4 linked regions of the Schizosaccharomyces pombe genome follow. The gene in region 2 interacts genetically with the main gene of each other region. Each region holds a gene or a part of one and is shown on either strand. Other genes may lie near its edges.

Region 1 (4,138 bases), 940 kb from region 2:
GTGCATCAATAATCGAGAATAAAACTCGAATAACATTTTGAACCCTTTTTGCAATGAACAAGATTCATTCTTTGTAATCAAATGTAAATTCGAAAAGTAATGTAATATTAAGGAATGTTTCCTTAACTCGATTTGGGATCAACAAATAGAGGTTCAACTTTGATTATATCACTGTGCATACTATAACATGTATTTTTTTAAGTTTGTTTTTTCAAAAGGTTACAGATCGATTTACTAAGCTACAAAATTCAAAAAACTTAAAAAATTCAATACTTGCAAAGCAAAGAAGCAGAAAAAAAGATCCAAAAAAAAAGGATTACATTTATTTTGTTGAATTTATTATTTTTTTTAAAAAATAAATAACTTAACTAATGAATCACTATTTAGCAATTCTCTTTAGATTTGAATCCATAAAAATCATAACAATAAGCGAAGCAATATAACTGGTATTTGCTTATAAAATGAGCGATTCATGCAAGCAGAAAGTTCTTTAAAAACAAAAGAAAACATTAAAATAGATTTAGCACTTCACTTTGGCGTTATAATATCTCCATGTTTTTTTACATGATCACGATACACTCGATATGGTAAAACCAGTGTATACTTTGGCATAACAAAATCATCTCCAACAAACGATTCATCCTCAACATATGTTTTAAGAAATTGTAACACTTCGGTTTGATCAGCTTTAGTGAGGTCGATGTATATATACAACAAATATGAAAATTGGAAAATGGTATTAGCAGTTGCTTTATAAACCACAAACGATTGGTAATATTGTCTACCTTTGTTATAATAGTCTATAACATCAGGAATAACACTGTTTTTTTCCTTTTCATTAGAGACATCTTCTCCTTCGTAATCGGCAGGTGCCAATGTTAAGTATGGCGAGCTTTGTTCAGACATTGTTCTTGCTTTCACAGGTAAATTGAGGTTGCACTGGGATATGAGTATACTGTAAGCAAGGCGCGCAGCATCTCATATAATATTCTTTCAACGAGCCGACATTAACTAGAATTTGCCAACGTAAGATCAGAATGACGTTTTGATCCGCACGAAATACGTCGGTAAAGGAACCTTATTAGTAGAATATTGCAATATTGTTCGTTGTCTGCATACTACACAAGCGATACCATAAACTGGTTACGATTATATTTTCGACGATTCAGTAGCAGATATGGCGAGTTTCAAATAATACTCTCTTGGTAAAATGCCTATTATCCAACATTGTTCCATGAATCAAGGCTATTGTTCTATTAAAAATATTACGTTGAGCAATTCAAGCGGCTTTCTCACTACGGTATCTCAGTACCGTAAAACCACTGGTTTATTCTCATAAAAACAACCTTATGTTACACAGACTTACATCTAGCCAAGTCAATAGGGTTTCGGTAAAGTTCCAATGTACTTTTCATCCTATTCCTTATCCGGAAAAAGGAATCGATCATTTTTCCAGAATTTCTGATGGTACATTACCTTTTCGAGATCTTTTCGTGGTAGTAAACTGCGAGGTGATTTACATTTTACAGCCGTGCTGCCACCAAAACCACAAGAACCTCAATTTGGTAATCTTAAAATTTCTAATTTGTTCCTTCTAGAAATCCTTTTTTAAAAGCTATAATACATGGGAATTTTCAGTATAAATTGGCTGGTCCCTTTCCTTGTATTTACATTCTTTGGTCGATCATTCTTTATGGAAAAGTAACATGTGATTTACTGAATCGACTCTTTGACGTGGATACTACTGCTGGTAGCTAAGAACCTTTGTGTGAGTGAGCAAAGTAAAAACTGCTCGATTTTGAGGAGTATAATACATCTAGCAAAAATTGAAAATTTAATAAGAAGCTCTAAGCTAGTTTTGGAGAAAGCGTTGTTCGGGATCTCGTAATATACATAAATAAGTATATTTGCTAAACGATGGGAATTAAAGGTATGTTACATTTAACGCTAAAGAGTTTATCTTTTACTCTCTCCTTTACTTAAAACTAATCTGGGTTAGGTTTGGCTCAAGTACTAAGCGAGCATGCCCCAGCCAGTGTCAAACATAATGATATTAAAAATTATTTTGGACGGAAAGTGGCTATAGATGCGTAAGTTGAAAGACTAAATAGAAAGCGAAAGTCTCAGTTGACTTGGCAAAGACTGTATGGCTTCTGATTTTGTTTGTAAATATGGGTTAAACACTATGGTGTACAGTTTTTATTGCTAAAGAGCAAAGCTCTATGTCTTAACTCGAGACAAAGATATGATACAAACGAAATATAGAATAAAGGATGAATAAATTTTCACTAACAGTGACTCGGTTAAATTCATTGCTCAAGGTATTTTACATCATTTCTTTACTTTGTTGGTTCTTGAAGTTGCAAACACTAATAGGTCAAACTCTATTCAACTGATTCTTTCCTTTTCGAAGGGTTGATTTATAAAGTCTTCTTGAGGTACTTTATTAATGCTAATTTCGTATATTACAGGTCAATGAGTCTTTATCAATTTTTAATTCAAGTTCGCAGTCAAGATGGTCAACAGCTAATGAATGAACAAGGCGAGACTACTAGTCATTTAATGGGAATGTTTTATCGTACACTCCGAATTGTCGATAATGGAATAAAGCCTTGCTTTGTCTTTGATGGAAAACCACCAACATTGAAGTCAGGGGAATTAGCTAAACGTGTGGCCCGACATCAAAAAGCACGAGAGGATCAAGAGGAGACAAAAGAGGTTGGTACAGCTGAAATGGTGGATCGGTTTGCCAAACGTACGGTCAAAGTTACTCGGCAACATAATGACGAAGCAAAACGTTTACTAGAGTTAATGGGAATTCCCTTCGTTAACGCACCCTGTGAAGCAGAAGCTCAATGTGCCGCTTTAGCCCGTTCAGGAAAAGTTTATGCTGCTGCTTCTGAGGACATGGACACATTGTGCTTCCAAGCTCCTGTACTTTTGAGACACCTGACATTTAGTGAGCAAAGAAAGGAACCAATTAGTGAGTATAACATAGAAAAAGCATTGAATGGTTTAGATATGTCGGTGGAGCAGTTTGTAGACTTGTGTATTCTTTTGGGTTGTGACTATTGTGAACCTATTCGGGGAGTTGGCCCCGCTAGAGCCGTCGAGTTAATTAGGCAATACGGGACTCTCGATCGCTTTGTCAAAGAGGCGGATCGATCAAAATATCCTATTCCGGAAGATTGGCCTTATGAAGATGCCAGAAGACTGTTTTTGGATGCAGAAGTACTTCCTGGTGAAGAGATTGAGTTGAAATGGAAAAGTCCCGATGCAGATGGCATTATACAATTTCTGGTTAAGGAAAAAGGTTTCAATGAAGATCGTGTTAAATTGGGGATCAATAGACTAGAAAAAGCCTCAAAGACAATTCCACAGGGTCGTCTTGATTCCTTTTTTAAACCAGTCCCTTCTTCTCCCAAAAAACCTGTAGATACAAAGAGCAAAGGATCAGCAAAAAGGAAAAGAGATTCAAATAAGGGTGGTGAAAGCAAGAAAAAGCGTTGAAAACGAAGTCATGTAATTGTTATTAATCTAAAAAAAAAACTTAAAAAAAGCAAGACGCATGTAGATAAAACTATACTACGCTATAATAATAGTAAATCTGTTTAATGCATGACTTTTACGTAAAAATAATTAGTCTAAGGAGGTAATTCTGATCATATAAGCTAATAATGGTATACAAAACTCGTTTCTAAGTAATAATATGCCAAAAAACAATCTGGCTGATACAACTCAAAAAACGAAAAGCAGTGGATTCGGACGATGGATCAAAGATCTTTAAAATAGTTCAATTTCTTGTGAGCCAGATTCTTGCATTGAAGAAGCGTTCTTCAAACTAAGAAATATGTTCCTAATTGAAATTAGCAAAGGCGAAAAAACTAGGAGCAAAAATGCTTTATGTCTCTTGGAAACAACATACCAAAAAATAGCAACCGTACAAGCAAATGGCATTTGGTATTGTAAGGGCATTAGCCAAAAGTTCACAGTTTGAAAGAAGGGCCAGACCATATAATTAGCCTTTAAATGTTAGCAACAATACAACAGAACCATTTAAGAAAGAAAATTTAGAAATTAAGTGTACCTTTAAAGTGGGCCAGAAAACAGCTTGAAGTTTATCGTAGGCGCCCCTGAA
Region 2 (4,990 bases):
AAAAAGAAAATGTGACAAGATAATAATAAGGAGCCTAACAACACCTCTTCACCGTACGATCGTTTCCGAGGTCAACGTTATTTGCCTGGTTGGAAAATTCGTTTTCTGCATCAATCTTTTGTTTTTTTATTTCCCGGGCAAGGGTAAAAAATGCCTCATCTACATTGACGTTCGTCTTCGCACTAGCTTCTAAAAATTTAACGCCCAGCTCATCGGCTAACGCTTGTCCCTGTTCAAAGGAGACCTGACGCTGATCCTCACAATCACATTTATTTCCAATAAGGATTTTATAAACATTTTCACTAGCATGTTGTTCAACGTTACTAAACCAAGTTCGGACGTTATCAAATGATTTTTTATCAGTTACATCGTATAACAATAAAATACCCATTGCACCACGATAATAAGCAGTGGTAATGGTACGGAAACGTTCCTGGCCAGCAGTGTCCCAAATTTGGAGTTTGATACGTTTTCCATCTAGTTCAATCGTGCGAATCTTGAAATCAATTCCAATCGTTGTGATAAAAGAAGGGGTAAACGAGTCTTCCGAAAATCTCAGAAGAAGACATGATTTTCCCACACCTGAATCTCCTATGAGAAGTAATTTGATTAAATAATCGTAGGATTTTGTAGACATGGAGGAGTGTTGCTTTTGCCAGGTGGTAAGTGGTAGAATCTACTGGAGTCCCTTGAGATAATGCCGCAAAAATACACTTAAATTTATTAATTCAAGTAATGTTATTGTATAAATGGTACTAGTTTTATTTAAGTCTTTGTTTGTGTTTTTTTATGTTGAAAAAACATGACTTTCAACTTTTTTATGTACGTTTCCTAAGGGCAATAAACTCGAAGTTTTGATAAAGGAAGTCACTATTCTAGGGCACATACATACACTCTTGAGAAAGTAACAAAGATATTCACAAGAGAAATAATTCAGATTTCATGTCAGAGAAAAATCTCTGTCACTAAACAATTTACTAGCCATGGATTAATTTATACGATTTGAATGACTGGTAATATGACTAATATAGTACTGCATTGATCAATTTAATCAATGTTTATATGACTGTCATTGACCTAAACATACTTATAATTAACGCTTTAAGTGTTTTGGTTTAGATTTTTCCTTTTTATTTTTGATAATATAGTAAATGGATGGGGGAGAAACAATGAACTTAACGTTAATTCATATGATCATCATTTTAGGCTTTGTCATTGTTGTTCGAGTTGAAACAATAAACCGTTTAAACCAGCATAAACTATAAAATGTTCTACGATTAGGAGTTGGACTGTCTGAAAATAAATAACTTTTAAATTTTTCGAGGTTATGAGTATTCAATAGAGATTGAAATTAATAATTTCTACAATAAAACAAAATAACAAATTATTTCATTTTATCCATTGATATATTTGGTTAGACTACAATTCGATCTTACTTTTTTAATAATATTTTCATTTTTTTAATTCTTTTATGTTTATTAATTCGAATAAATGATGGAAGCCATTTGTCATAACACCTTAATTTAAGTATAAAAAATATTTTTCTCATGTTTTATTTTTAAAAGCATTCAAACATCATACACTTATTTTATTTATTTTTTATTATTGACAATTCAAATACTTGATTTTTGGCTAATAGTGATTTACAGTACTTGAGGTCTTATTGTCGATTACGTAACTCGTAAAACTTCAAGTTGGCTATTCGATTGCTAACCAAAATGCACTAATACGCCAAGTTCAACAAGTAAATTAAAGATCACAAGAAATACTCATAGCAGTTAAACGTATCGTTAAAGCATCTTATATAGCTGCGCATTTTGGAAAAGACTATCTTATTTATCATATCTGTTGGTGCTCTGCAAAATCAATTCATATTGCTACAAGGGTTCAATTATTCATACAGGAAGTTACGCGATTAAGCAGCCTTAGTGACTGCAGTCATATTCTGCTATTAGTGTTTCGTTTGTATGTGGTATTCATACTAGAAAGAGATATGGTTTTTCGGCCTTATCTTCTCTGCATAATATTGCTTACTAACTGTTAAGGTTTTCCAATTGCTGAATTACGATAATTACAGTTACCAAGGTTGCTGAAAGTATTTGAAACAATTTACGATTTATTATGAATTCAATTCTTTTTTACAGAATAAGAAAAACATTGGGCCCATATTACAATTTGGAATCACTTCAAACAACTATTGTTACGCATAAACGAGAGTGAAAGCTACAAACAAAATGATGGCTGATGAAAGTTTTGACTTGGAGAGTTTGGGTTCGGATGAAATATTTGAAGGCGTGAATTTAGATGAATTAGAGCAACAAGCTCAAACCCAGGTTCAAGCTCAAAGTTCTCAAGTAGTTGTACCGAGTGAAAAGCAAAAGCAAAATTTAAATCTTCCAAATTCATACACCAATTCTTCTCAAAAAGTCCGGGAATCTACCGTAAACTCACAAGCCTCATTATCCTCTAATGACCTTCGAACAGAACTTTTAATTAAGTCGGGAGAAAATGCAATTCTTCGTGCTAACCTTCTAAAACAATCCGAAGCTAATAATGCCGCCCTAGAATCGTTAAATAATTCTATAAAGCAAAAGCAAGATGAATACCAACGGAAATTAGAGGAGCTTAAAAAAGAAATTGAATACGCAAAAACGAAATCCCTATTTCATGAGCGTGAAGCACAGGATGCTATCGAAACTATGAAAAAAATGAAAAGAGATGTAAAGAATTCTCCGATTATGAAAAAATCCCATGAAGAAGATGGTGACAATAAATTGTTATCTTCTTCTGATCAGCTTGCTAAGAGCACAAAGCATGCTGCAAAAAACAGCCCTTCTAAAAAGAAGCGCAAAACAAGTGTTGCTACTGCTGAAGATGCTTCAACGGATAGTGTGAGTTCTAGTATTGCTATATCAGATGCAAGTTTGTCTTTGAGCCTGATGAAAGATTTACTTTCTCTACAAAAAAGAGAAGATTTGTATTTTGTAAGTATTTTTAAACTGTCGTGTTAAATTTTATTCCCTTTTCTTACTTTTCTAGTCTTCTAGAACTTTAGCATACGTATTTGGTGGTTGTATGCATTCATTAGAAACAATTGAAGGAGAGGAGGAAGGTGAATGTTTGTTTAATAACTTGAAAGCTCTAATATACAGTCCCGATCTATCTATGGATTCCTCCAATTATGTACAATCTGTCGTTCAAACATCATCGTCGATTTTAAATTATTCAATGAAAAAATTATTATATAATGCCTCCTTTGCTATAACATCTTTGTTTAATGCATTATTAATTTTGGACCCTAAATCATCCACCTTTATCTTTCAGGAAAATGTCGTTTCTTTAATAAGTGGTTTTCTTCTTAAGGAATACGAAAAAAGCAATTTTTTGGACTCAAAGTTTTACGTTTTAATAGATTTTCTTTATTTATACTTATCTATAGCACGTGAAAGTGCTGATGACTTTGCAAACATTACTAAAGCGGTTGATCCGTCGTTATTCGAATCCTGCATTCGAGTGCAAAATGCTCCTTCTTTGATTAAATGTGGTGTTTGTTTAATTATTAGTTCCACCACTCCTTCGTTTTGCGCTTCAGTTAACTTGTTAAATGCCGATGATAAATCCCAAGAATCACTCATGCAACTTTTCACAACTATGGCCCATATTTTAGTTGTTACTACTAGGGAAAGGATTAATTTTCCTGAATTGGTACGTTTACGAATTGTGCTTATAATCTTTGCATTGCTTATTTCTAACAAATTAGAATGAATGGATAACGCTTCATCGCTTTGTCATATCCTTTTTTACCGTGTTTATACAAATGTCTGGAAACATTGGTAAAGAGATTTTAAAAGTATGCAATCCCTTAATAGTATGCATCGGACTAGCCATCACTTGGTATCATCAGCAACTCCTTTCGTCAATGTACCCTCAAAATGAATGCGTAGAGATTTTAGTATCTCTTGTTCGGCTTCTGTACATTTTATCTTCCGAAGATTTATCATCAAAATTTATGTTAGCTGAAAATGCGTTACAACCTCGTTTCGTTTATGCAATAGCATGCTGCGCATTCGGCGATACTGAACAAAAAGCGTTTGGCAATTTGGGTGAGGAAATGTATTTTCTCACTACAGAATTGTTGGAAGTTTGCGTCTCTCCCGAAGAGCTGGAGCAGTTGTACACTAATTTTTAGATAATGAAACAGATGAATCTATTTCCCTAATTTTTCAAATGAAATAATGATACTTGTTTCTTCAGTGTTGTTCTTTCCCGTCCCGCACCCACATCCTCGCAAATTAAATACAAATCAATCTGTTTCCCCAAAGGAATGCGTACCACAAAAACATCCCCATTCCGTTCTTTTAGTAAAACTTACGGCTATATTTACCTGCAAATAAAATCATCTAGCAATTAACGAAAATGAATATATTAAAGTACCACTAACATAAAGAATCATCACTATGTAAATTCAATAAAATGCATTTGAAAGTTCAAATATCAAAACCGTTTTGATTCATAATAAAGAAAATCCGTCATAGAAGAGTTTCAAGAAAAACTGTAAACATTCATAACATAAAGAGAAAAATCCAATAATTCTCTTCACTAGAGTTTTTCTTCATTCTTTATCCATTGAATGCATATTTTTTTATTTTTTTTACAAAAAATATTTGCGTCTGATTTCCTTAAATGGGAGAATCCATTCCCAGGTTGATGTGAACAGCTTTTGTTTGAGTATAATTGGTAAGACCGTAAGAGCCCAATTCGCGACCGATGCCACTCTCCTTATAACCACCAAAGGGAATTTGGTGATGAAGTAAGTTATAACAATTCACCCAAACAGTACCGGCTTCAAGAGCATTGCTGACCTTGATGGCATTGGTAATATTGTTAGTGTGTACACCAGCAGCTAAACCATATGTACTGTTGTTACCGCGACGGATGGCCTCCTCGATGGTCTTGAATTTAATGACGGCAAGAACGGGTCCAAAAATTT
Region 3 (4,722 bases), on a different chromosome or scaffold from region 2:
AAGTTTCAAAGTTGCGTCCGTGAACTGAAGTTTAGAATGAACACATTTTTGAAATATTTTAATAAAAATCATTAGATAGACTTCGTCTCTTTCATAATCATAATTCATTAAAATTTTTTGAGCCAGTATTTCAAGACATTTGTAGAAAATAGGTTCGGATGTCCGCGCAACATCTAGGAAATATGCACCAATTGCAGACATACCAAAACAAAAAGTTTCAATGGGATACAAATGAAGAATATTAATTAAGCTGTCATGAGGATGACTAGAAAAGTAGTCGATATATTTTTGTAAAATAAAAAGATCAGTATTCCGTATTTGCTCAAGCGATCCTTCCATCAAACCAAGTATTTGATGATTCCTGATTAAATTTTCTGGCCGATAAATATCTTCTTCCTCCTGGGAGAAATACTCATCGTGATCAAATTCTTGAGGCTTTATGAATACGTTTTTAGAAGCCATATCCATTATATAAAGAACCAAGGTTTTGAGCGGATTACTGTCTCGAAAATGAGTTGAACGAATTAAGTCGCTTCCAATTTCATACCGAAGATGTTTTGGCTCATCAGAAATAGTAAACTGCAAATTAGTAGAGATGCAATTTATTATTGGGTCATAACTGTGATTAGACTTAACGAAAGAAAGGACTTCAGGGAATAAATTTTTAAAAATGACAAGATTGTTAGGAGTAACATTATGAATACCTTTTTTCTGGATAAAACAATTTAGAAAGCCACATAAAAATGATATCTGAGAAAATATCATAACTGCTTCGAAGCTTGGGGTTTCCTTGTCAAGCTCATCTTTGTCATAAGATGCTGAGCTAATTTCGTCTATCGAGCTCTCCAACATTTTAATGACATTTTGCAAACTATCACAGTCAATAGTATGGTTACTATTGAAAGGATAGCATCCTTCTGTAGACTGTTTACATATTTCGTCAGTAGTATAAGGAAAACGAAGCGTAACAGGCGACCATGCTTCTTTGAGGTGAAACAAATTACGTTCGAAAGGTGATCGTATTTCTGTGGTGATATAAGATAATGACAACGGTCTATAGAAGATCATCATTAACAAATCAAAAATGATAATAGAAGAATCGGTAAATGAGAAAAATGGTAGTTCACCCTCTTTGCTGAACAAATGATATAGATGCCACTTCAACCATTTTAGAAACACAGATTTAAAAGAGCTTTGACCAACAAATAGGTTTTCATTAAGTAATATGTACAGAGATTTCCAGTAATCAATGGCTTCATATGAAAGCATTGGCGAGTAATCATTAAATAAAATAAACTGTTGCTTTATGAAAGGAAAAATGCTCGCGAAGCACAAAGGCCGATACATGTTAAAATAAGTTAAAATTTGATAGCATACAGGAGACGTAACAGAATTCAGGAGACCACGAGAAGCAGCAGCCAAAATTTCCTTTTTACATGAAGTCGTAAGCATCGAAGAGTAAGCTTTGTTGTAACAAATGTTGAACAATATAAAAAAAGACCAGCTTTGAAGTTCATTTTTTTTCTCAGTAAAGTTAAGACTCATTTTTTGAATTGACAATAGATCATCGTTTGTTAGATTGTCAGAAATAGCAGTGATAATTACCATGAGTTGCAATGAAAAAGAGGAAGCCGAGATATTGGCTAGCTCAGCTTGCAAAAGCAGTTCCTCTATTTGAGAACATGTTTTCTGCTTTTTGTTGGCTTGCTCCGTGCTTGCTAAGGACAACACGGTTTTTTTGAGGAGAATTAGTTTTGCAAGAAAAAAATAAATAAAGTAAGATTCAAAGAAAGAATTATGTCTAAGAGAAAAAAAAAGGTGTAGCCGTGGATCGTAAAGTTTTGCAATGTTGTTCTTAGGCTCAACTGTATGGAATCTAAAATTCGCAAGCGATAATGAGGAGCGTTTTCCAAAAAAATTTAAGAAATTTTTTAAAGAAAAAAACGAAGAGTTAAGAAGATCTAAATTAAAAGATCTAATGGAACGATGGGGATCCCATGTTTCTGAATTGGACCAAAGTGGATAAGAAATGGCTAAGCATTGTATAAGCTGCAATCTTAAATCCAGACGCTTCCATTTATCAGAGTTTATAAGAATCTTAAAGACTAATAAAACAACGCTTGCGGAATAATCATTACAATTGGGGATCGCATATGCACATAACTGAAACAAACACTGCAAAGCTGGTAGATGCGCATCTGTTTCTTCCGTGTAAGCATAAAAAAAGAACTCAAAAAATTTCAGCAGTTGCTCACTAACAAAATTAATTGGAGCCGCATACCATTGAACAAGAGAACGCATAACGTAAATGAGCTCAACGACTTCTTGCTTTACTCTTATAACATCGTGCGATTTCCAGATAGATATTTCTTGATAGTTTTTTTGGCTTATTGGCTCTTCTTCACTATCACTAACATAAGTTTCTTCAGCTATACTTAGTTTTTCAATAGCTTGACAACAATAGGAAACTAGTGATTGCCAATCCGAGAAACGAAGATGATGCAAATGAGGAGAATGGGATAATAGTAGCCGAAGAGCCTTAGAAAAATTCAAACAGACTACCTCACATATAGAACCATTAGCTGTGAAAGTATGTCTTAGAATTATATCTAGAAGCGCTAAAATATGAGGCTCCCTAAATAATAAAATATAAGATTCAACACATGTTCTTAACAAATAGCTAATATCTTGAAGCTTCTGCTCTTGGGAAGCTTTGGAAATTTGACGTTTACCATGATTAGCAGAAATTTGCCATTCAAGTTCGAATGCTCGCTTTATGGCCTTTTCGATTATTAAAGCATCTTCCTGATTTAGCGAATTTCCATTTCTGGAGTAAATTATGTAGCTGCGAAGATTTTGTAGAGCATCTGATCGTGTTTTGATTTTTGATGAAGACAACTTATTAACGATGTCATTTAGAGAAGTCATAGTATTACATCGAGTAAAAGTTATCTTTTCTTCATTAATATATTAACATATTTGGCGTAAACTGATAATTGAGTAAAAGGTTACGCGTCTCCAACTTTTGGAATTTGGAAGGTTCATTTAGCGTGTACGAATTTTACAGATGCCAAGTTATAAATTGAAGTGTGGTAATTCTTCTTATTGAAACTAAAAAGCACGAAACTATCAACTATATAAGAAAAAAGGAATTAAAACAAATGATCTTCTTTGGAAATATCAATGACTCTACTGTTAGCTAAATATGTACAGTAATAGTGGATTTTCTTTTTTCAGCACCGAATTATTCAAAAGCCCTCTATTAAAAGTTTTCAAGGCTGTAAAAAAAGAAATCATAGAACTAGCTCAATTGCGAATAAAGTATAAGAGAAAAGAGTGAAGAGGTTTCGAGAGCTTAAGAAAAACTATTCTATGCTATCCGCGGTGATAAACGAAACAGCGTCGCTAAATGAAGCCGTAGAAACATCTCGTGCATGCGAAAAAGCTGGTGTTTCTGAAACACCGGAACCAGATTTGGGAAGAAGATCATTCTCGGCATCGAGCCCAGCATCAGCTTTGGTGGATTGAGCAACAGGAATAGAGTCCTCCTTTTTTGTAACAACAGGCGTCGATTCCTCATCTTCAACGATAGAAACAGGCCCCTCATCTTTGACAACGGGCTTAGGATTCTCAACTCGTCTTTTTTGAGGAGAGAGCTCATCAGCACTATTGGTTAAAGTCTTTGGCTGTCTATCAGTATTTACAGTTGGAGTAACAGTTGGAGAAGATGAACGATTTGTCAATGAAGGACGTACATACTGTTGCATTAATTCAACATATTCCTCTCCACCCTTCAAATCCCATTCGCTTGTACCTATTTTAGATCCCATCTTCCTCCATTTTTCCAAGATGCCAAGACGACGTGACTTGCACAATTCCACCAACTGGGGCCAGTACTTCTCATGATGATATTCAAAATGAAGAGATCCACCAAAATTCGAATCTAATTGATCCTTAGGGACATAACGATCCAACGGTTCATTGAACTTTAACTTCTCTCGTGTAATAGGGTCAATAAATGGAGATATCAATTTAAAAAAACCCCATACAGCCCAAGGAATATTAATAACAAGTGCTCTTCCAAGACGCTCACAATAATGAGTTTGCAAAATATTCAGTACCTCTTTACCTTGACCAACGCTGGGATTTGAACGATTGGACGAAGACTTGAAATTAATCAACAAAGCCAATGTCTCTACTCCTGGAGGCATAAGATCAATAGCACACTCCAATGAAAAAACCAGATGCCGAATCTGCAGTGGTGAGGTTTTAGTGTTTTGCCTAGCTGGATATAGGTATAAACAGGGACGACCGTCCTTGTCGTAACCTAGCAATACTTGCTTACCAGTTGCATTCTCCTCTTGGATTTCATCAGGATCCATATTATTAACACCGAAGTGACGACGCCATACCAAAGTATCAACAATACGCTTTTTTGCATTGGAAACGTGCCATTTAGTAGCACGCAAATATCTAAGGATGCATTCGCGTGTTAGCCAAAGACGCTCCAACTCAATCAAATCCGTTTTCTTGCTAGAATTAGACGCTACAGGAATCTCTTTTAATTCCAAACAATATTTAAGTACTTCTTCATACATTTCTTCTTGTTCAGAAGTCAAATTCCGATAAGTGGGAGCCATAGGACAATTTGCATCAGGATAAGGAATTGGTGCATTCCAAGTACCATCAGGATCTAATTCCTTAGGGAACTCAAAAGATGCT
Region 4 (7,823 bases), 1.0 Mb from region 2:
GCTTTTTCCCTACTCTATTAATATTCAAGTTTCCCTGTAAATTAAGAATGTTATGCCATAAGGATTAACATAAATTTCTCTTTCAAACGATATACGATTCAGAATTGTCTCAATCCCGACAAGATTGGGTTTTGTTATCCATTTATTGGCTTATTTATCCATTAAAAAATGTTCGGACTATCTTTTTATCTTTTGGGCAATTTTTATAATTGCATTGGTGCATACATTTTACATGTATACTACTCGCGCCTTCCAATAATTTTATTTAATTTATTTTTATAGATTCACTTTCTCATCAGATATATTTATCCCTTGCTCAGATTATACACTTATTCTTCATTGCTTCTAATATTAGTGTTGAATATTTAGACTAATCTTTCCATATTAATAATATACGCAAGGAAGCTGAAGCAAGATAATATGAATTATTCGTTAAATATGTATGTAAAGTCAAAGTAGAAAAATTTACAGATTTTCTACATTAAAAAAATATTCTGGCTGTTTTTGAAGACACCATCAAATACCCATACAACTTAATAAATAACAAGTTTAAAGTCGAATTTTCTTCAATTTTTAACAATCAACCTTATCGCATTTCGCCAAACAAGATCGTAAATATCTATACAATACAGTGAGCCTTGCATTTCCAAGTTAATCAATTCCATACCACCATAAATACTTGCTATAAAGTATTTGTAAATTACAAACTTCTTTTTTATTAAATACGTAAATTGACAAACCTAATATAGAGTACACACTATGGGCACAAGAAAACCGAAAAGCCAAATTTTATACTTAAAGCATCTTTTGAACTAAACCATTGATATGCTCATCACGCTTGCCAGCATCACCGCCCTCAATAAAATGCTTGAACTTACGTTCTCTCCAGCCTCCCAAAGGAGAAGAAAGCTTGAAGGGCCAGAGGAAGTTGGCAGCTTGCTTGAAGTTAGGACCAACAGTGTAAATTTCATGAATCAAATCCTCAACAGATAAGATGGAATATTTACCCAAGGCGGCTTCAATGATAGCGTTATCAGACAAAGGAATACGTTGCTTGTTGACCTTACCAAAACCACGTTTGTAGATCAACTCACGAACAGTTTTGTGGTTAGGAATACCATAAGTAACGTAAGGCTCAACGACTTGGAGCATTTCCTTAATAGCCTTGTTGAATTTGACAAAAATGCCATTGTTAATTTGCAAAAGACGGAGCAATTGCATGATCTTACGAGCCTTGGGAGGAATATTGTTAATACCACGGATACGAACAACAAAGATCAACTTGGGCTCATGAGGAACAAAGTAGTTGCCCTCGGCACGAGCCTTACGAGCAAGTTCAATCTGCTCACGCTCAGCAGCACGGTATTCAGCTTCATAAGCCTCAGCACGTTTAGCTATGAGTTCACGCTTCTTTTGGCGAGCCTAGGTTTGAATTAGTAAAAATCTCAAATTGACTAAATTATTTCAGATTGCATAGTATGGTGAACTTAACACTAACTACGTTTTAAGTAAACGGTTCTCATAGTACCATCTAATAAAAGGAGTACAAGAGTAATTAAACTGCAAAATCAACCCAAAACATCCTTTCATCAGCCATTTACTCGATTTTTTTATTCAAACATCTTAGAATTAATGCAGAAAAAAACAATCGTGCTTCGTTTACCATATTTGCTAACCGTAAAAGCTTTAAGCAAAAGTGGGTGTTAAACTTACAGACTTCTTTTCAGCAGCTGCAGCGACAATCTGTTCGCGAGATTGTTTCTGAGCCTTAGTCTTCTTGAGAAGAGACTCGGGAGCAAAGATAGAGGCTACGCTAGGGACGGTCGAGGAGGCAACCATTTTCGACGAGATAGTATTCGTGCTTCAAGTATTTCCCGTATTAGTTTACATCTTGTGACTGTCTTTACAACCCTAACCTATTCCGGTTTAACTCTCTTGTGGTGGTGAGCTAGGGTCAGTATTACTTGTTAACGCTCTCGTACGCGCTGTAGCGATGCATTTTAATTAGTGACCGCGTACTATTGTTTACATCCAGAGCACACACATAAGGAGACGCGAGCTTTCGCGACCATCTTCCGTCTTAAGAGTATTTTTATTGATTTTTTAATTTAATTTATTTTTTTGAAAGAAGATATATTCGACTTTAAAGTCTTCTCGTGAACTTATCATGAGAAAGAGAAACGCGGGGATAAAGCCGTCTCAAAGATTTGCTGAGTTACGGGCTCTTCGTCAAGCCGGAAAAACAAGGGCTAGCACATACGAAAGCAAAGAAAATGAAGAATTATATGACAATGTTTCAGAGGAAGAATATCGCAAGATTGTTCGACAACGACTGGATGAGGATGACTTTGTCGTAGACGATAACGGGGCTGGTTATGTGGATAATGGATATGATGAGTGGGATCAAAGTCATTACAGTGACGAGGATGATGAAAATGAAAAAGGATCGTCTGGTCGAAAAAGAAAGAGTATGTTTATTGCACTGTTACATGTGTCTATATTAAGGCACAAGCTAGCGTCTATTTTATAGGGTATGCCATTTCACTAACAGTAATTTAGAATCGAAGAACGTTCTAGCTGAACCTAATCAACAAATTGGCGCGTTTTTTAAAGCAAATGCTATCCAACCTGCTTCACGTATCGCAAATCGAAAAAATAATGAGAAGGAAGATGAATTCATGGCTGAAATTCTTGGCTCAATCGACCAAGATATTCCCGAACGCCTCTCGACAAAAAAGGGAAATCGTTCTCATACTACATCAAATGCCAAACGTCGCTCTCAGAAAGCTGCTTCCTCAATAAGTACAACTAACGTTGTTTCTTCTGATCCCAAAAAATACATCCCAGAAACTGTACCTTCAACTCCTCAACCTGCTAGCAGTCTTCCTATTCCCAGCTCCCCACCTGCTGCACTCGAGACAGAAGAAAATGTCGACAGTCAACCAATGGAATTAGACGAACCAGAACTCCCCGTTGGATCTGATGCACCCATTATTGACGTTGAAGAATCTATTGCCATGAAGCCATTGATGAGTCATGATCAGGTCGATGACACCGCATCGCTTTCAAAAGCTACTATTTCTCAGCAACCTCTATCACCAATGACACCTTTATCTTCGGAACTTGACGTCTCTGCTTTTTCTGAAATTAATTCTAAGATAAAGAATGTAGATGTTCCTGCTTCGTCCTATTCATCTCCAATTTCAAAAGTATCACCATCTGATGTTACTGAAGAGGATGGTTCTTTGTTTTTTTTTTGGATGGATTATACCGAGATGTACGGCTCATTGTGTCTATTTGGCAAAGTATATGATAAAGCTACTAAACAGTATGTTTCGTGCTTTCTCAAGGTCGATGGGATAATGCGTTCTTTATACTTCCTTCCCCGCCCATCATCATCCTCAGTTTCTGAAGATTCTATTGCAGCGCAAACTAAAGATGTTTACGACGAAGTAGCCAATTTGTTATCTAAAAGGGGTGTCAAGGAATGGAAATCAAGAGTCTCCAAGTATAAATATGCTTTCGAATTAGAAGATGTTCCTCGGACCGCTGATTACTTAGAGGTAATTTATTCCTATTCTTATCCTGCTCTGCCTACTGATTTGACTGGTTCTTCTTTCTCACACGTTTTTGGAACTAATACCGCCTTATTCGAGCAGTTTGTCTTAAGTAGAAGAGTTATGGGTCCTTGTTGGCTGAAAATACAACAACCAAATTTTGATGCTGTAAAAAATGCTAGTTGGTGCCGGGTCGAAATAGGATGTTCGTCACCTCAGAACATTTCTGTTTCTTTCGAAAAAAATGAAATTACTTCGAAAACGCCTCCAATGACGGTGATGAGTCTTGCATTTAGAACGCTGATTAACAAAGAGCAAAACAAGCAAGAAGTCGTTATGATTAGTGCTAGGATTTTTGAAAATGTTGACATTGAAAAAGGTTTGCCTGCAAATGACATGCCCTCGTATTCCTTTTCGTTGATTCGTCCTTTGAAGCAAATCTTTCCAAATGGTTTTGAAAAGCTAGCTCGCCAGCACAAATCTTCCATCTTTTGTGAGAGGTCTGAAGTTTCGTTGCTTAATAATTTCTTAAATAAAGTTCGTACATACGATCCTGATGTTTATTTTGGGCATGATTTTGAAATGTGCTACTCAGTATTGTTATCTAGACTGAAAGAACGAAAAATTCATAATTGGAGTAGTATTGGTCGACTTCGAAGAAGCGAATGGCCACGTTCGTTTAATAGAAGCTCTCAACAGTTCGTAGAAAAACAGATTATTGCTGGAAGGCTTATGTGTGATTTATCTAACGACTTTGGTCGATCTATGATTAAAGCCCAATCTTGGAGTTTATCTGAAATAGTACTTAAGGAGCTTGACATTAAACGTCAAGACATTAATCAAGAGAAGGCATTGCAATCATGGACCGATACGGCTCACGGCTTATTGGATTATTTAGTTCACTGTGAAATTGACACATTCTTTATTGCTGCCGTCGCATTCAAAATTCAGATGCTTCAGCTATCAAAGAATTTAACAAACATTGCTGGTAACTCTTGGGCTAGAACATTAACAGGTACCAGAGCGGAAAGAAACGAATACATTCTTCTTCACGAATTTAAAAAAAATGGATATATTGTCCCGGATAAACAACAAAGTATTAGAAGACATGCTGAAGCTTTTGGTGCAGAAGACGGTCTGCAAGAAGAATCTCTTGGCAAGAAAAAAGATAAATACAAAGGTGGATTGGTTTTTGAGCCTCAAAAAGGACTTTATGAAACTTGTATTTTGGTGATGGACTTCAATAGTTTATATCCAAGTATTATCCAAGAATACAATATTTGTTTTACTACTGTTGACAGATCTCCTTCTAACTCTGATTCCGACGATCAAATTCCCGATACTCCATCTGCCTCGGCCAATCAAGGTATATTTCCTCGATTAATTGCAAATCTTGTGGAACGTCGACGCCAAATTAAAGGACTATTAAAGGATAACTCTGCCACTCCCACACAAAGGCTGCAATGGGATATCCAACAACAAGCCCTGAAGTTAACTGCAAACTCCATGTATGGCTGCCTGGGATATACGAAGTCTCGATTCTATGCACGTCCGTTGGCTGTTCTGATTACTTATAAGGGTAGGGAAGCCTTGATGAATACTAAAGAACTTGCGGATCAAATGGGACTTCAAGTAATTTATGGCGATACCGATTCAGTTATGCTCAATACGAACGTAACAGACAAGAACCATGCTCTTCGAATTGGTAATGAATTTAAGGAAAAGGTAAATGAACGTTATAGTAAACTAGAAATTGATATCGATAACGTTTATCAGCGCATGCTTCTGCATGCTAAGAAAAAGTACGCGGCTTTACAGCTTGATTCTCAAGGGAAGCCCAATTTAGATGTAAAGGGCTTGGATATGAAACGTCGTGAGTTTTGTACTTTAGCTAAGGAGGCTAGTAAATTTTGTTTGGATCAAATTTTATCTGGTGAATTAACGGAAACCGTAATTGAAAATATTCATTCTTATTTAATGGATTTTTCCGAAAAAATGCGTAATGGGAAGTTTCCGGCTAACAAATTTATAATATTCAATCGTTTGGGAAAAAATCCAGAAGATTATCCAAATGGAAAGACGATGCCATTCGTGCAGGTGGCTCTTAAAAAGAAAGCTAGAGGAGAGAATGTTCGTGTAGGCGATGTTATTCCTTTCATTATTGCTGGTAGTGACGCTGACGGACACCCTGCCGACCGAGCTTATAGTCCGCAAGAAATAATGAATACAAATTCCACATTAGTTATTGACTACAATTATTATCTTTCGCATCAAATTCTCCCTCCTATCGAGCGTGTTATAGCACCGATTGAAGGAACAAACCGTGCTCGCTTAGCTGAATGCTTAGGTTTGGATGCTCGAAAATACTACTCACATGAGACTTCTGAATCATCTGCGTTTCAGCGGTATGAGTCTACGCTCACTGATGACCAGTGTTTTATTAACGTTTCCCCATTACTATTGAAATGTCCATCCTGTAATGCTACATCATTTTCCCTACGATCTGTAAAGTCCTTGAAGGAAACGTTGTATGCGAATACAGTAGAATGTGATTGTGGATATGAGTATTCGGACTTTACTATTATTCTTCAATTCTCATCTCAACTCAGAGATTTTATTAATCTTTATTATGAAGGAATTTTAGTATGTGATGATTCTTCTTGTGGTAATCGAACACGACAAATGAGTGTGTATGGAAAGCGTTGTTGTAACAAATCATGTCGTGGAAGCGTTCATTTTGAATATAATGATGAACAATTATATAACCAGATTAAGTTCCTGCTAAAAGCTGTTCAAACAACCACCGGGGCTACCAGAAATGGAATCATTAGATGCAATGCCATCAACAAAAATATCTCTCGAATAATGAACAAAAATGCGCGTGAATTTGTAGATATGGGACTGATATTTTCATCGTGAAGCTTTAATTCATTCTACCCGTTTAAGTAATCTACTTGACACCTCGAACAGATATTTGCTCATGCAGTACAAGAAATGTTGATGGGAATACCTGTTTCAAAGACTTGGGAATTGCCAATAATTATTATCAGTACTATGTTTTACAACACAACAAAGCTACATGTTACATTTTTGGGCGTATGCAACTCTGATATAATTTGTTCTAATACTAAGGTCGTTTGTGATTTGAAATTCGTGATTCTACAATTGACGCTCTGGATAGCAAAGTACTCACTACATGTTTGACTTATTACGCACATCCTAAATTTAACCTAAACACCATTATGACACGAGATATACCATTGATGAAACTCGTAAAGCTGGTGGTAATACGGTCAATAAATTATGTGAAAGACCTTAACCTTCTCAAGTGGAGACATTAAACATTCGAACAATTTGAGAATTAGGGACTTTGTCATGACACAAGAAACTGATTTACTGTGCGTTTTTTTGCTCAAGATTATTTTGGTGTTTCAATCTTTTACACTCTCTTCAACAAGTCTTTACATATTCTATGAACGTATTTTATAATTCACACCTACAAAAGATATTTTTTTATATATCACTCGTCTTGTTCAACTTTTTGCATTTCTTTTAGAACACTATAATTTTAATTACTCATAATAAATTTCAGAATTACGATTTGTACAAGGTGCATCGCTATCAATACTTCGTTATTATTTTTTTACGCCCAGCATTATTTTTGCTAATATTTCTTGGACTAATATGCCAAGCTTAAACCCTACCCTAAATTGACTGCTTTTTTATTAGAGAATTAAATTGCAAGCACATTTAGAATGTTAACTTGCGCAGTGTCTCAAACGCATCTGTAGGGAGGAAAGATATCAAAATGGCAACCAACGTTGGGCCTCAAATTCGTTCCGGTGAGCTTGTTTTCGGTGTTGCTCACATCTTTGCTTCTTTCAACGATACTTTCGTTCACATCACTGATTTGACCGGCAAGGAAACCATCGTTCGTGTTACTGGTGGTATGAAGGTCAAGACTGATCGTGATGAGTCTTCTCCATACGCTGCTATGTTAGCCGCCCAAGACGCTGCTGCTAAGTGCAAGGAAGTTGGTATCACTGCTCTTCACATCAAGATCCGTGCTACTGGTGGTACTGCTACAAAGACCCCGGGTCCCGGTGCTCAAGCTGCTCTTCGTGCCTTGGCCCGTGCTGGTATGCGTATTGGTCGTATTGAGGATGTTACTCCCATTCCTACCGACTCTACCCGTAGAAAGGGTGGTCGTCGTGGTCGCAGACTGTGAGCGTTTTCGTCATTGCTTTACAATTTTTATGTTTGGTT

The links.
Region 1: mutations in rad26 (region 2) and rad2 impair growth when combined (synthetic growth defect), as found in Schizosaccharomyces pombe (4 studies listed by BioGRID, with this or other methods).
Region 3: mutations in rad26 (region 2) and tel1 impair growth when combined (synthetic growth defect), as found in Schizosaccharomyces pombe (5 studies listed by BioGRID, with this or other methods).
Region 4: mutations in rad26 (region 2) and pol1 are lethal when combined (synthetic lethality), as found in Schizosaccharomyces pombe (3 studies listed by BioGRID, with this or other methods).

Annotation. Positions count from the first base shown.
Region 1 is NC_003424.3:5,389,041-5,393,178, reverse strand, and holds rad2 (FEN-1 endonuclease Rad2), read left to right. Parts: upstream 1-1,756; 5' UTR 1,757-1,917; coding exon 1,918-1,930; intron 1,931-1,999; coding exon 2,000-2,090; exon of another isoform or gene 2,091-2,267; intron 2,268-2,275; exon of another isoform or gene 2,276-2,471; coding exon 2,472-3,510; 3' UTR 3,511-3,593; downstream 3,594-4,138. Other genes in the region: SPOM_SPAC3G6.07 (uncharacterized protein), read right to left, coding at 529-906; SPOM_SPAC3G6.05 (Mpv17/PMP22 family protein 1), read right to left, coding at 3,784-3,856, 3,926-4,023, 4,088-4,138. UniProt on the Schizosaccharomyces pombe protein: Structure-specific nuclease with 5'-flap endonuclease and 5'-3' exonuclease activities involved in DNA replication and repair.
Region 2 is NC_003424.3:4,448,881-4,453,870, forward strand, and holds rad26 (ATR checkpoint kinase regulatory subunit Rad26), read left to right. Parts: upstream 1-1,724; 5' UTR 1,725-1,965; intron 1,966-2,045; 5' UTR 2,046-2,234; coding exon 2,235-2,984; exon of another isoform or gene 2,985-3,039; coding exon 3,040-3,705; intron 3,706-3,760; coding exon 3,761-4,189; 3' UTR 4,190-4,489; downstream 4,490-4,990. Other genes in the region: GTPase Ypt2, read right to left, coding at 35-637; atd1 (aldehyde dehydrogenase), read right to left, coding at 4,680-4,990.
Region 3 is NC_003421.2:1,274,508-1,279,229, forward strand, and holds the start of tel1 (ATM checkpoint kinase), read right to left. Parts: upstream 3,035-4,722; 5' UTR 2,929-3,034; coding exon 1-2,928. Other genes in the region: pdr16 (sec14 family protein), read right to left, coding at 3,366-4,722. UniProt on the Schizosaccharomyces pombe protein: Serine/threonine protein kinase which activates checkpoint signaling upon genotoxic stresses such as ionizing radiation (IR), ultraviolet light (UV), or DNA replication stalling, thereby acting as a DNA damage sensor.
Region 4 is NC_003424.3:3,428,922-3,436,744, forward strand, and holds pol1 (DNA polymerase alpha catalytic subunit), read left to right. Parts: upstream 1-2,033; 5' UTR 2,034-2,167; coding exon 2,168-2,468; exon of another isoform or gene 2,469-2,559; coding exon 2,560-6,476; 3' UTR 6,477-7,320; downstream 7,321-7,823. Other genes in the region: rpl702 (60S ribosomal protein L7b), read right to left, coding at 796-1,422, 1,714-1,839; rps1401 (40S ribosomal protein uS11), read left to right, coding at 7,366-7,785.